2 linked regions of the Caenorhabditis elegans genome follow. The protein of the gene in region 1 interacts with the protein of each later gene in a pairwise test. Each region holds a gene or a part of one and is shown on either strand. Other genes may lie near its edges. The genes, in order: ubxn-2 and air-1.

What was found.
Region 2: the proteins of ubxn-2 (region 1) and air-1 interact in a two-hybrid assay, tested with the Caenorhabditis elegans proteins (one study listed by BioGRID).

The regions. Positions count from the first base shown.
Region 1 is NC_003282.8:2,719,730-2,727,691, forward strand, and holds ubxn-2 (UBX domain-containing protein 2), read right to left. Parts: upstream 6,091-7,962; coding exon 6,080-6,090; intron 6,029-6,079; coding exon 5,918-6,028; intron 5,862-5,917; coding exon 5,714-5,861; intron 5,618-5,713; coding exon 5,511-5,617; intron 3,465-5,510; coding exon 3,170-3,464; coding exon of another isoform or gene 3,101-3,169; intron 1,375-3,100; coding exon 1,286-1,374; intron 981-1,285; coding exon 836-980; 3' UTR 584-835; downstream 1-583. Other genes in the region: ndua-12 (putative NADH dehydrogenase [ubiquinone] 1 alpha subcomplex subunit 12), read right to left, coding at 5-105. UniProt on the Caenorhabditis elegans protein: Ubiquitin-binding protein which acts as an adapter for ATPase cdc-48.1 and/or cdc-48.2, conferring substrate specificity.
Region 2 is NC_003283.11:8,219,584-8,224,328, reverse strand, and holds air-1 (Aurora kinase), read right to left. Parts: upstream 2,842-4,745; 5' UTR 2,829-2,841; coding exon 2,778-2,828; intron 2,734-2,777; coding exon 2,672-2,733; intron 2,627-2,671; coding exon 2,441-2,626; intron 2,388-2,440; coding exon 2,244-2,387; intron 2,200-2,243; coding exon 2,091-2,199; intron 2,049-2,090; exon of another isoform or gene 1,880-2,048; intron 1,816-1,879; coding exon 1,588-1,815; intron 1,551-1,587; exon of another isoform or gene 1,356-1,550; intron 1,292-1,355; coding exon 1,091-1,291; 3' UTR 747-1,090; downstream 1-746. Other genes in the region: cogc-6 (Conserved oligomeric Golgi complex subunit 6), read left to right, coding at 3,125-3,214, 3,263-3,403, 3,450-3,963, 4,010-4,245, 4,294-4,745.

The sequences.
Region 1 (7,962 bases):
TTACAAATAACGCTTCTTAAGCACCGCTTTGACACCTCCAATCTCCTTGACCATTTGGCCAAACTTTTGGATTTTATCGATTCCCAGCCACGCTTTCAGGGACATCTGTAATGTAAATTTGGTTGGAAAAATGGGAAATTTTAACGGAATGTGGGGAGGAAAAACCAAGCATTTTGTGAATTTTTTCAAAAAAAAATTTTTTATAAATTTTTTGGCGAAAAACTCCATATTTCCTGTGAAATATGATATTTTTCGAGTTTTTCACTGAAAAATCTTGAATTTTTTGAAAAAAATCAGGGAAAAATCGATTTTTCAGTGGAAAATTGGAACAAAAAAAGTGAATTTTTACATTTTTTGAAAACTTTAAATTTTTCACCAAAAAATCGCAGAAGAAGGATTTTTCTCTCTGAAAAATTGGGAAAAAATCTGAAAAATTCAAAATTTGACTTTAAAATTGAATTTTTAATGGAAAATTTGTAAAAAATGTGCATTTTTCACTAAAAATTGAAAAATTCTGAAAATCTGGAAAAAATAAAAAAAATATTTCAGAGCTTGAAAAACTCGCAAATTCCAAAACAAAAAATCAATAAAAATCGCCGCAATTTTTCACAGAAAACGGTGTACTTTTTTTATGCATTAAAGTGTGATAGAAGAAAGAAAAAAAACGATATTGGGAAATGGGGGGAAAAAATCAAATAATTTAGCGTAAAATACAGGTATTTTCAGGGAATTTGAGAGGTTTTGGGGGGTAAAAACGAGTAGAAATTCGAAATTTTTTCAGATGAAATTTTCAATTTTCAATTTTCCCGCCAAAAAAGCAGCGTCAGGAATCTCCTCAGTTGGTGGTGGGCAAGATTTTCACGGCGACGACCGAATTGAGCACATTTGCATCCTTCAGAGTCTGTGATTCGTCTTCAAATGGTTTTGGAGGGTAGGCAGCCATCATTTGGAATGGAGCGTAGATCATATCTGGGCGGGCGCTGGAAAATCAAAATTTTTAAATTAAAAAAATTTGAGTTTTTTGAAAGAAAAAACTAGAAAAATGTAATTTTTTAATTTGAAAAATGTAATTTTTTAATTTGAAAAATGTAATTTTTCTATCACTGTGTATATCAGAAAAATATTATTAAAAAATAATTATTCATTGGAAAATTTCGAATTTTTCAGGCTAAAAATGTGATTTTTAGATGATTTTTTTATTTTTTTAATTCGAAATTTTCTAAAAATCTACTTTTTCTAGTGAAAAATGAGAGTTTTTAATAGCTTTTTCCGGCTGAAAACTCACGTGCAAATGAATGTACGAACTGCTTCAAGTGTGTGAGAATGATTAAAAATACCGACGAGACGCTGATTGTTTGGCAGACGGATTTGGATCTGAAAATTTTGTTAAAATTAATCAAAATATCAGGAAAGAAGCCACAATTCGACTGAAAATCTATAATTAGAGCCTGAAATTTTTTTTTTTCGAAAAAGTAGATTTTTCTCCGTTTTTTTTGTGTTTAAAATCATATGAATTTTGTAGATTTTTATCGATTTTTTTTTGCCAATTTTTATTGATTTTTTGAAGGATTTTACGACCTTTTTGTGATATTTTTATTGATTTTTCACGTTTTTTTCAGGAAAAAAATCTGATTTTTTCCCAGAAAATGAGCGTCGGAGAGCAGAAAAGCGTCCTGATGGTGTGTTTAGGTACGGTTTTTAGGTGAAAAATAGGTGGCCGAGGTTTGGGTTTCTAGGCCAGCAATTTTTTATTTGGAAAATTGACGAAAAAACGGTCAAATTTGCGCGAAAAAAATTGGTGGCCGACTTTTTAAAACAGTTAGGCCACCGATTTTTTTCGGGTTTCCCATCGAATAATTAGTAATTCAGCACATTTTTGTGAAAAATTGGAAGAAAATAAAATTTTAAAAGTCGATGGCCGAACTTTTGAATTTCTAGGCCACCAACTGAGATGTTAGTCCTCCACAAACGTCTTCTTGCCATTTTGAATTGTGTCTAGCTATTTTCAAATGGGCTGGACTAACTTTTCACTTGATGGTCTAGAAATCCGAAAGTTCGGCCACCGATTTTTTTTCCCAATTTAAGCGAATTTTTGAATATTTTATTATCAGAATCATTTAATTTTAGAGTGTTTTTGAAGCTTATTTTATCCGATTTGAAATTTTTCAGAAATAAACTGATTCTGGGATGTTTTTTCTAGTGTATAATTGATAACATATATTTAAAATTTAATTTTCAAAAGTTTGCAGTTGATTTTAGCCTAATTCTACTGAATTTTTTCTTTGATTTTTCTTTTTAAAACTGCCAATTTTAGCCGGTTTTCCTCCAAATTTCACAAATTTTCGCTCCAAAACCGTACAAACTCCGTACATTTTCCACTGAAAAATCGATTTTTCCGATTTTTTCCGAGCAATTCAAGATTTTTCAGTGAAAAACTCGAAAAATATCATATTTCACAGGAAATATGGAGTTTTTCGCCAAAAAATGGCGAAAAAAATGTTTTTTGGTCAAATTTTTTTCCCCCACATTCCGTTAAAATTTCATATTTTTTACTGAAAAAAAATCCCATTTTTCCAACCAAATTTACATTACAGATGTCCCTGAAAGCGTGGCTGGGAATCGATAAAATCCAAAAGTTTGGCCAAATGGTCAAGGAGATTGGAGGTGTCAAAGCGGTGCTTAAGAAGCGTTATTTGTAAGTTTTCAGGTGGAAAAATGGCTGAAAATGCGAAGATAAACTATCAATAATGACCGGAAAAACATAAAAATTAAATGAAAAATCGGTGGCCGAACTTTTGGATTTCTAGGCCACCAAGTGAAAAATTAGTCCCCCAATTTTGTTTTGACATTCTGCGTGATAGGTCAGGTCAGTTTTGTGGGGGGGTCTAACTTTTCACCTGATGGCCTAGAAAATCGAAAAGTTCGGCCACCGATTTTTTTTTTCGATTTTTATGATTTTCAGGTAATTTTCGACCGTTTTTCTTCTAATTTATTGCATTTTCAGGTCAGTTTTGTGGGGGGACTGAATTACTAATTGCAGTTGATTTTAGCCTATTTCTACTGAATTTTTTCGTCCATTTTTCTTTTAGAACTGCCAATTTTAGCCGCAGTTTTCCTCCAAATTTCCAAAAATTTTCGCTGCTCCAAAACCGTAGTACAAACTCCGTACATTAGTCGTTGGCTCATTCATATTGGTGCTCAGCTCCTTCTTAGCATCTTCCAGCTGTTTTGCCTCATTTTCAGCAGTATGATCCGGGTTATGATCAGTTGTTGCAGATGATGTCCCAGCAGTGGTGGCAGACGACGATGATTGTCCCAAAACTGTTGGGACAACATTTCCCAAACGGACTCCACTACCGCCGAATGGCTTCATCTTCGGAGCAACGTACTCCTCGTGGTGGCGGTTCACTTTGAAATCGATTTCTTTTCCCGGATATTGTTGAACAAGTGATGGAGGGATTTCACTGAAAAAAAACAAAAAAAAAATAGAAAAATTAGTGAAAAATGGATTTTTTGGCACTTTTTTCGGTAAAAATTGGAGAATTTTCAATTTTTTTTTCGTGAAAATTCATCACAATTGAGTTTTTTTTCAACGAAATTTGATTTTAAAATCGGTTAATTTGTAGAAAAATCGATTTTTTTGCTAAAAACTGAGGAAAATATTGGAAAAATTTGAGTTTTTTGAAAAAATGGAAAAAAAGTTCCATTTTTTTTGGGATTTTTCTCGAAGAAATTGGAGAATTTTGAGCCAATTTCAACATTTTTTCGTGAAAATTCATCAAAATTGAGTTTTTCCAACGAAATTTGATTTTAAAATCTGCAAATTTGTAGGAAAATCGATTTTTTTGCTAAAAACTGAGGAAAATATTGGAAAATTTTGAATTTTTTTTAGTGGATAAAAATGCCTTTTCTGGAATTTTTCCGACAGAAATTGGAGAATTTTCATCATTTTTATGTGAAAATTCATAAAAATTGAGTTTTTCCAACGAAAATTGTCATTTAAATCAGCTAATTCGTAGAAAAATCGATTTTTTTGCTAAAAAACTGATTAAAATATAGGTTTCCTCGGTTTCTTAACAATTTACAACTGAAACAATGCGTTTTTTGCGATAAAATGCTAAATTTTCAGGCAAAAAACCGAGATTTTCTCAATTTTTATGTGAAAATTGATTAAAATTGGCATTTTTGCACAAATGTTGATATTAAAATCGCCGCCAAAAATCGTTGCAAAATCAAAATTTTTTTGGCGTTTGCTGAAAATAAAATTAAAACTATATGAAAAACTCAAATTTTGGACTAAATTCTACATGAAAACAGCTTAAAAGTCCCAATTTTAAGTAGAATTTTGCATTTTCAACGATAAAATCATGATTTTCCTGCCAAAAAACCGATTTTTATGTGTAAAAATTGATATTAAAACGGCTAAATCGCTAGAAAATCAATTTTTGGCTGAAAATTGGCATTTCACAAAAATTATTTTTGGGGAATTTTCAAATTTGCAGGGAGAAATATCGGAGATTTTTGGAGAAAAATTGGAAATTTCATGGTTTTCTGTAAAAAATTTTTTAATGTGAAAAAAAATGAATTTTTTGGCACTTTTCTTGAAGAAGTTCGAACATTTTTAAGCCATTTTCAACATTTTCTATGCTAAAAGTTATAAAAATTGAGTTTTTTTCAACGAAAATTGCTGTTAAAAGCGACTAATTTGTAGAAAAATCGATTTTTTGGCAAAATTTTGAATTTTTTGAAAAAAAAAGATAAAAATTCCATTTTCAGGAATTCTTCCGACAGAAATTGGAGAATTTTCATCATTTTTATGTGAAAATTCATAAAAGTTTTTTTAAACGAAATTTGATTTTAAAATCAGCAAATTCGAAGAAAAGTCGATTTTTCTGCTAAAAACTGAGGAGAATAGTGGAAAAAATCGAAATGTGAACAATTTTCAAGAGAAAATCGCTGAAAATCAGCTTAAAACAGTGAAAAACATCAATTTTAAGCTAATAATGCCCAAAAATAACTTAAAAAATGCAATTTTCAGCTGAAATATTGCATTTTTAGCATCAAATTTTTAAATTTTCGGCCAAAAAATCGAGATTTTCTCATTTTTTAAGTGAAAATTAGTTTAAAATGAAGATTTTTCACATATTTTATTTGTTAAAATCAATAAAAATCGTGGGAAAATCGATTTTTTTTTTGGCGAAAACTGGACAATTTCCAGGTAAAGTTTGCTGAAAATAGGATTACTATGAAAAAACTTTGAAAAACTCAAATTTTGGACTAAATTCTACATGAAAACAGCTTAAAAGTCCCAATTTTAAGTAGAATTTTGCATTTTCAACGATAAAATCATGATTTTCCTGCCAAAAAACTGATTTTTATGTGTTAAGAAAAAATCTTGTATTTTGTATTTTCAGTGAAAATTGGATCGAAAATCTTGATTTTCTCGTCAAAAAAATCCAATTTTCTCTCGATTTTCTTCAAGAAATCCTCCATTTTCCGTCATTCCGTACCCTTTTCCGACGCTTTCCAAGAATTCAATAGTTCTGGGGTCCTGGCGAGACATTAACGGGCCGTCTTCGATCGATAAGCCGTCGGACCACAGGTGAAGCGTTAGGCTCTGCAAAAAAATATCGATTTTAAAGCAAATTCGCCGCGCAAAAAATGAGCAGAAATCAATGATTTTCAGCTATTTCAGCAGCCCACCGCGGCTTACAATAGTTTCTCTCCCTGACGGGCGTCCTCTTGGAGCTTCTCCTCCCTCTGGCTGAACCACTTCGGCGGCCTGAAGGATTCTCCGAATGTGGGCTTCACTATCCGGGCCTCGAGCAGCAGCTCCACGTGGTCCTTGAACTGCTTGTCCGCTGAAAAATCCAAGTTTTAAAAAATTTTAATTAAAAAATCTAGGAATTGCGGCTACCTTCCAGCGTAAAATTCCTGTGGGGCTCCTCTCTCGGCGGCATCGGCTCCTGAATCGTCGCTGTCCGGCCCCCCATCGTCGTTGTTTCCAATGTCACGAAACGTGCGAATACTGCAAGTAATTTATCGATTTTTGAGGTTGAAAATCGCGGGCGACACTCACTTTCTGCTCATTTTTTCCGGGGTTTTGTGGTGGAAAATTGAAGGTTTTCACTGTAAAAATATTAAATTTGAGAAAAAATGAGTGAAAAACAAAAAAAGAACGACGAAAAACCGATGGAAATAGGAAACAAAATAATAATGATAAAACGCGCCGAGAAACGCGCCAGCGCGTGCGGGAAGTGCGTCAGCAGCCGCTGTTGACGCAATTCTTGTCGGGGGCACGTTTCCAGCAGCGTCCAAATTCTGCGAATTGATAATAAATCAACAGTTTCTTTGGGGAAAAACTTAAAAAACAATTGTGAACTGAAATTTTACCTGAAATCGAGGAAAAATTCTAATTTTTCTGAGAAATCACGTCTAAAAGTGGATTTTGATAATATATTTGAAATGTCTTTATTTTTAATATTCAAAATTTTACTCAAAAGCATCAAGAAACCATCAGATTGAAAAAAAATCCCACTGACTATGAGAAAAAAAAATTTAAAGTCGGTCCATTGGCGCACTTCTCGTGCATCGCGTGGAAAATTGAGAAATTACCGAAAACGTTCAATTTACTGTTTTTCTTCATATTTTTTATAACATAAGCTTTGGTGGAAGATTACTTTTCAAATATACATCAATTTCCACTAGAAAAATGATGATAAATATACGAAATATGAGAAAAACTCAATTTTTAGATGTTTTTTTCTTTTTATATCATCGCTTTTATTTTTGAACAAAAATCAAAAATCTTTTTTTTCCTTCACCTTACCCTCAAGTAGCTTTACAATTGATACGTAATTAAAAAGTTTGAAATCGATTTCAAACCCATGAAAACTGAAGGAAATTACTTTTCAACGGCAAAATTTTCCCACGCTCACGAGAAACGCGCAAGCCCCCTGTTGTTGGGTCATTTCCACGTGAGGAGGCTGTGAGTCGTTGTTTTGAACGACAAGTTTTAAAAATCTGCAAATGGACTAATCAAAATTATTCTTGCATGCAGGTATTATACGGTAGCTTCATTCCTTTACACACATCATGATCAACCCAAGTTTCCGCAAATGTTCCGAAACTTTAGAGCCATCCTACTCCAAGTCAAGTAGGCTACGTGACACAGGATACCGATTTATTCCTGTAGTTTCAAACCATCATTTGGTTTTTGAACTTAATTTGACAATTTCAAATTGCTCGGGAAACCACGGGATCCTTCACTGCAACTTTTTCCTTACGAGGGACGAGGAAAAGTGGTTTCTAGGCCATGGCCGAGGGGCCGACAAGTTTCAGCGGCCATTTATCTTGCTTTGTTTTCCGCCTGTTTTCTTTCGTTTTTCACAGCTTTTTCCCGTTTTTTCTTATTAAAACTGATAAATAAATACTTTTTGCAGATGCTAAAACAATTTCCAAGTAAAAAATTATTGTTGTGTATTGAGCGAGTGACAAGGAGAGAAGAAGTTTATTACAAGAGAGTGTAAGAAGTAATGAATTATAAAGAGAGGTCGCTTACGCGATAAGTTCATGATGACCGAAAGGTCACGTCTGTATAAAGTTCCAACCTCCGCCTGCCTCTCGCCACAACCCGCTTCTTATGCTAACTAGTGATTTGATATTTATCAAATTTATAGAAATGAGAAAATTATATAATAAATTTGTAAATTCACGTAAAAATGCAAACAATGAGCAGGAAGGCTGGCGGGCAGGTCCCTGAAAACGCGCTTGCCTACCATGGAAGTTGTTTCCTATTGTGACCTACATCTTTCCCGCTTGCTCTGTTGTCCTCTATCCCTCTATAAAAATCAGGTGATTGTGAATTAGAGTTTTCTACTACTTGTCTACTACAATCTTCATAAAACAAAACGGAATAGATGTTAAACATATTTATTCAAATCGGAAGAAATTTAGAATGTA
Region 2 (4,745 bases), on another chromosome or scaffold:
ATCCAATCAACCACTTGACAAACACCTCTAGTGCATATCTACGGGTCATCTTGTTTGTACTCACCTAAATTGACTACATATATCCAAATCTCCATCAAATAAATGGTTAGTAATCACCGGATATGTAACAACCAGATGGTAACGACCAGTTATTCGCGCAAATATTAAACATTTTTGTGCATTATTCTAGTATCTAATTGATCAGTTCATTTCAAGGATTACAGTTATTATTAAACATTAGAAAGAAATGTTTATATTGTATTTTCACGAAATGCTGAGATATCAGTTAAAAGGCACACGATGTTTTCCTGAGTGGGTCTCGGCACGAACTCAGTCATAGTGAGGTTCCAAAATTTACAGATTTTTTCATTTGATATGGAAAATGTACTATACGAATTTTGAAATTCTGAAATGTACAGAAAAAACTAGAATTTTTCATGTAGCACATAGCACCTAGCTAGGATAAAGTTTTTGCGAATGTACGATATTTAAGGCTCTCTGCCAGATACCACTTAACGTTGTTAAACCTCCGCTTTATGTTTCAAACTTTAGCTGTTCCAAAAAACGTTCCCACTCCTACCAATGTAGTGTTAACTCGTTATAATGTTTGCATACCATGCTACTTTTTTGGCGGAACAAAACAGTGCCAAAAAAGGCGGCAGCCTTCTACTTACCGCCACCACTGTTTGAGTTTTGGCTTTTAGCAGAAAGCATTGTATTTCTTCTGAGAACCAATGAACAAAGAGGTGCACCATCGTTTATGTGATAATCGAGACACTTGGATGCGAAATTTGGGAAAAAATTAATGGGGCAGACGGGAACACACGATACAGTACTTTCACGGGAATCTAATGATTTTACACACACACAAATAAAGAATAATTGATTTAGATAAATTTAAATCCTTCTCGTTGTCAGTGTGAGAAGAAACAAAAGGATGAAAACGGATAAATTGCTTAAATGGATTAGCGAAAATAAGAAGTTAGTAGCCGTATGATATACGGTTCTAAAGAAGGGAAAGTGCAGATGATAATTGTTTGGAAAGACAAGTAGAAAAGGTTGAGACTTTAATGGACAATAGACAGAGCTTTTATTGATTGGCTGTAGAATTATTGCGACTGGATTTCGTGAGCGTCGAAATGAAGAGTGGAACTTCAATGTCTTCGCGTTGCTTCATTTCCTTAATCCACGGATGAGCCATGATGTCAACAAGTGGGAGACGTTCTTGGGGTTCCTTTTTGATTATTGCATTTATCAAACTGGCAGCTCCGTCAGTCACAACACTTGGAATCTGCAAAAAAGAAGCAATTTAGATGAAACTACTTGGGAAACAAAATGGAAATGAATGTTTGAGAACTGTCCCGAGGAGAAAAGGAACCATATTGCATTAAAAGCAAACCGGCACACGCATCTCGAGCTAGACTTCTATTGCAGTTCTTTGAAGCTTCTCACAGATGAAACCGTGAGAGGCAGGAGATATATGACATGAAAAGATGAAATGGTTACCCAAACCATCACTTCATGCACATATTTCTGTTGGAGAACTGCTTATTAAGATTCTAACAAATTTAGTTCATAATTACTAACATAAATCTTGCACTCCTTGATTCTGGCGATCAATTTATCACCAGTTTGATTGGCGAACGGAGCATATCCAACAAGCATTTCGAAGAGAAGAATTCCAATTGCCCAAATGTCAACATTAAAGTCATGTGGCTGATTGGAAACCATTTCCGGAGCAAGATAATCCATGGTACCGCACAATGTATGGCGTTTCGAGTGATCAGCAACGACGGACCATCCGAAATCGGCAAGCTGAAATACAAGTCTTATTTTTTAGAAAGAATGCATAAAATGTGTTGAATTTAATTTTTACGGTAATTGTCCCGAGGAGAAAAGGAACCAGATCGCATTAAAAGCAGAACGGCACACGCATCTCGAGCTAAGCTTTTATTGCAATGTTACTGTGTGATCAGAGTATAAACTCTTTTTCAGCTAGTGACTTCTTTCGGCTCGGAGAACCAAAGGATGCACTGAGAACATTGCAGAAGACTTTTTGAGTACTTAGTTAACCATATTTATACGCGTACCTTCAGATTGAGCTTCGAATCAAGAAGAAGATTTTCAGGCTTAATGTCTCTGTGAATAACTCCTTTCGAATGGCAGTAATGCAACGCATTGGCCAGCTGTCGCACAAATCTGAGGAAATTTACTATATTTCTGAAATATCTACAAAATCACACCTTCCGGCAATGACCTCATTCACTTTGTGTCCAGGTTGTGATTGGAGGACATTAAATAATTCTCCTCTGCTGGCATAGTCGAGAATGACGAACACACGCTTGTCATCGTGAAAGTATCCATAAAGAGTGAGAATATTCGGATGACTGAAATAATATTGATTAATTGATTTGGATGAGATGACTTCGAGAAAACATACCGCAAATGATATTGAATTTCGATCTCTCTCTTCAACTGATGACTGACTCCAAGTTGAAGCAACTGTGTTTTGAAGAGTACTTTCAAAGCTATGATTCGCTTGGTCTTTTTTTCACGAGAGATGAAAACGTTTCCAAACTTTCCTTTTCCGAGAGGCCGTCCAACGTCAAAATCATCAAGACTCCAGCTAAAGTCCATTACATTGTAAAAGTAATAAATCAATTATTCTCACCATGATTCTTCCCTTGCCTGGTCAACTCTCTGAGGTCTGCTATCTTCCGTAAGTGAAATAACCTGAAGATTAGAATTGATGCCTTTCTAATTTTAATAACAATTACCTCGGCCTTCTGATCGTCTATCACAGGAGCAGTATTTTCCTTTCCGCTCATGATTAATGTAATTCTGCGAGTTGAAATATTATAATAAAATTGAGGAATAAAAAATTTAATGAGAAAGGAAAAAGAAAATCGCGACTAATTCAAGAACACGTCAAAAATTAGAACAAAGGCAGTCACTTTGAATGAATTTTGCTTGGCGGGTTGTTGAGCGGCATTGCTAAACAACACGCGCTCTGTTATTTCGGAGTGTCGTTGCTGACACGTTGCGAATAAATCAATTCTGCATTTTCTATTCCACTGAGTTCTGCGATTTTTTTCGCAGAATTCGGTGAATTTGAATCAATAAAATGTCAGTAATCGATAAAACTTCATCAGCAGTCAATCCTTTACGAGAAAAAGTGACTACTGCATGTGCAAAGAAGCTGTATAATGACAAGGTCAGCTAAAATATTAATTACAAACGAAACTTATGGCATTTCTTACAGGATTGCATCAAAATTGCTGATTTCATCACTCCACTGGTCGAAGATATGAACCTTGATTCAAATGTTGATAGGAAACTACACAATAAACTAGAACGATACGAGTTGAGACTAAACAAGGAATATTTGAGCGAGTTCGAAAAAGTTAGAATAAACCTGAAATCATTTCATTTTAAATCTGCTATTTCAGATAAATAACATTGTGCAAAAATTCGATGAGCTCTGTGTAAAAATGAACTCCACATGCACGAATTTATCAAAGCAAATGGAGACTGTAAAGTTCAAAAGTGTTGATTTGGTGCAGAAAACAGCAAGCTTGAAGGAGAAGAAAGCGAGTATAGAAAGCCGTTGTAATATGATAAATGAATTTCTCGAAAACTATTCTTTATCAAGTGAAGAGCTTCGAGAATTAGACGAATGTGAACAAAGTGGTCATCTATCGGAATTTTTCTTCAAAGTTCTTGAGAGGTGCCACGAAATTCGCGAGAACTGCAGAAATATGGTTCAGGAGCAAGGACATCTTGCCGCTTTTGAAGTGATGGAAAAAATGCAAAAAATTGACGAAAGAAGCCATGCAATTATCTGTAACAATCTGAAACGCGAATTTCAAAATCTGACAGTTGATTCTCATCAGAAAAAGCAAATTCTTTCTAAAGCTTTCAAAATCATAAGTCAGAATGATGCTGTATTCCAGCTTGCCATTGGTACGTTTAGTTCTTCAAATCTACTCACCATTAACCTAGTTTTCAGACCAATACATTTCATCTCGCTCACAAGAATTGCTCAATCAGTTTGTTGAAATTAACAAAATGGCTGTCCAAATGCCTGAAGGGTTGGCAGAACCACTGAAGGCAGTTGGAGATATGCTGACTTCGATTCACGAGCTCACGGAGCAAGAAAAACAGTTGTTCAGCTCAATTTGTTCCGCAGAAAATCTTCCGATCGTTCTTGATGAATGCCTGAAATCTTTGACTTCGCCGTTCAAGGTAAAAAGTTTAAATTATTGGACTATAATATATGATAATAGTTTACAGATTAGGGTAGAGCAACTGCTGTCGACAGAAAAAAATGCCATCACAATTTTCAAAATGGGAAATATTTTAATTTTCTATGCAAACAAGTTCGAGACTTTGATTCGAAAAGATAGTTATTTTACAATAATGCTCGCAGATCTCGTCAAAACAGTTCGTCAAGTATGTATTGCCGGTATAAATCATCACGTGGACGGACTTATGAGAAAGATGACATCACCACACTATGATCTCCTTCCAGTCCCAGAAGTTCGGCAATGCCTTTCACTTTATCACGGGCTTATTTCAATTGCTGTAAAAACAGGAGATTTGAATCTTCTTCTTGAACCAGAAAGGATCTACGAATATGTCTTGGAACCACTTATTCAGACGGTTCAACTCAGTGCAACTCGTCTGAAATCTGATATTGAAGTTTCTGTGTTCACAATTAACTGCTTAACAGTCATTAGAAGTGC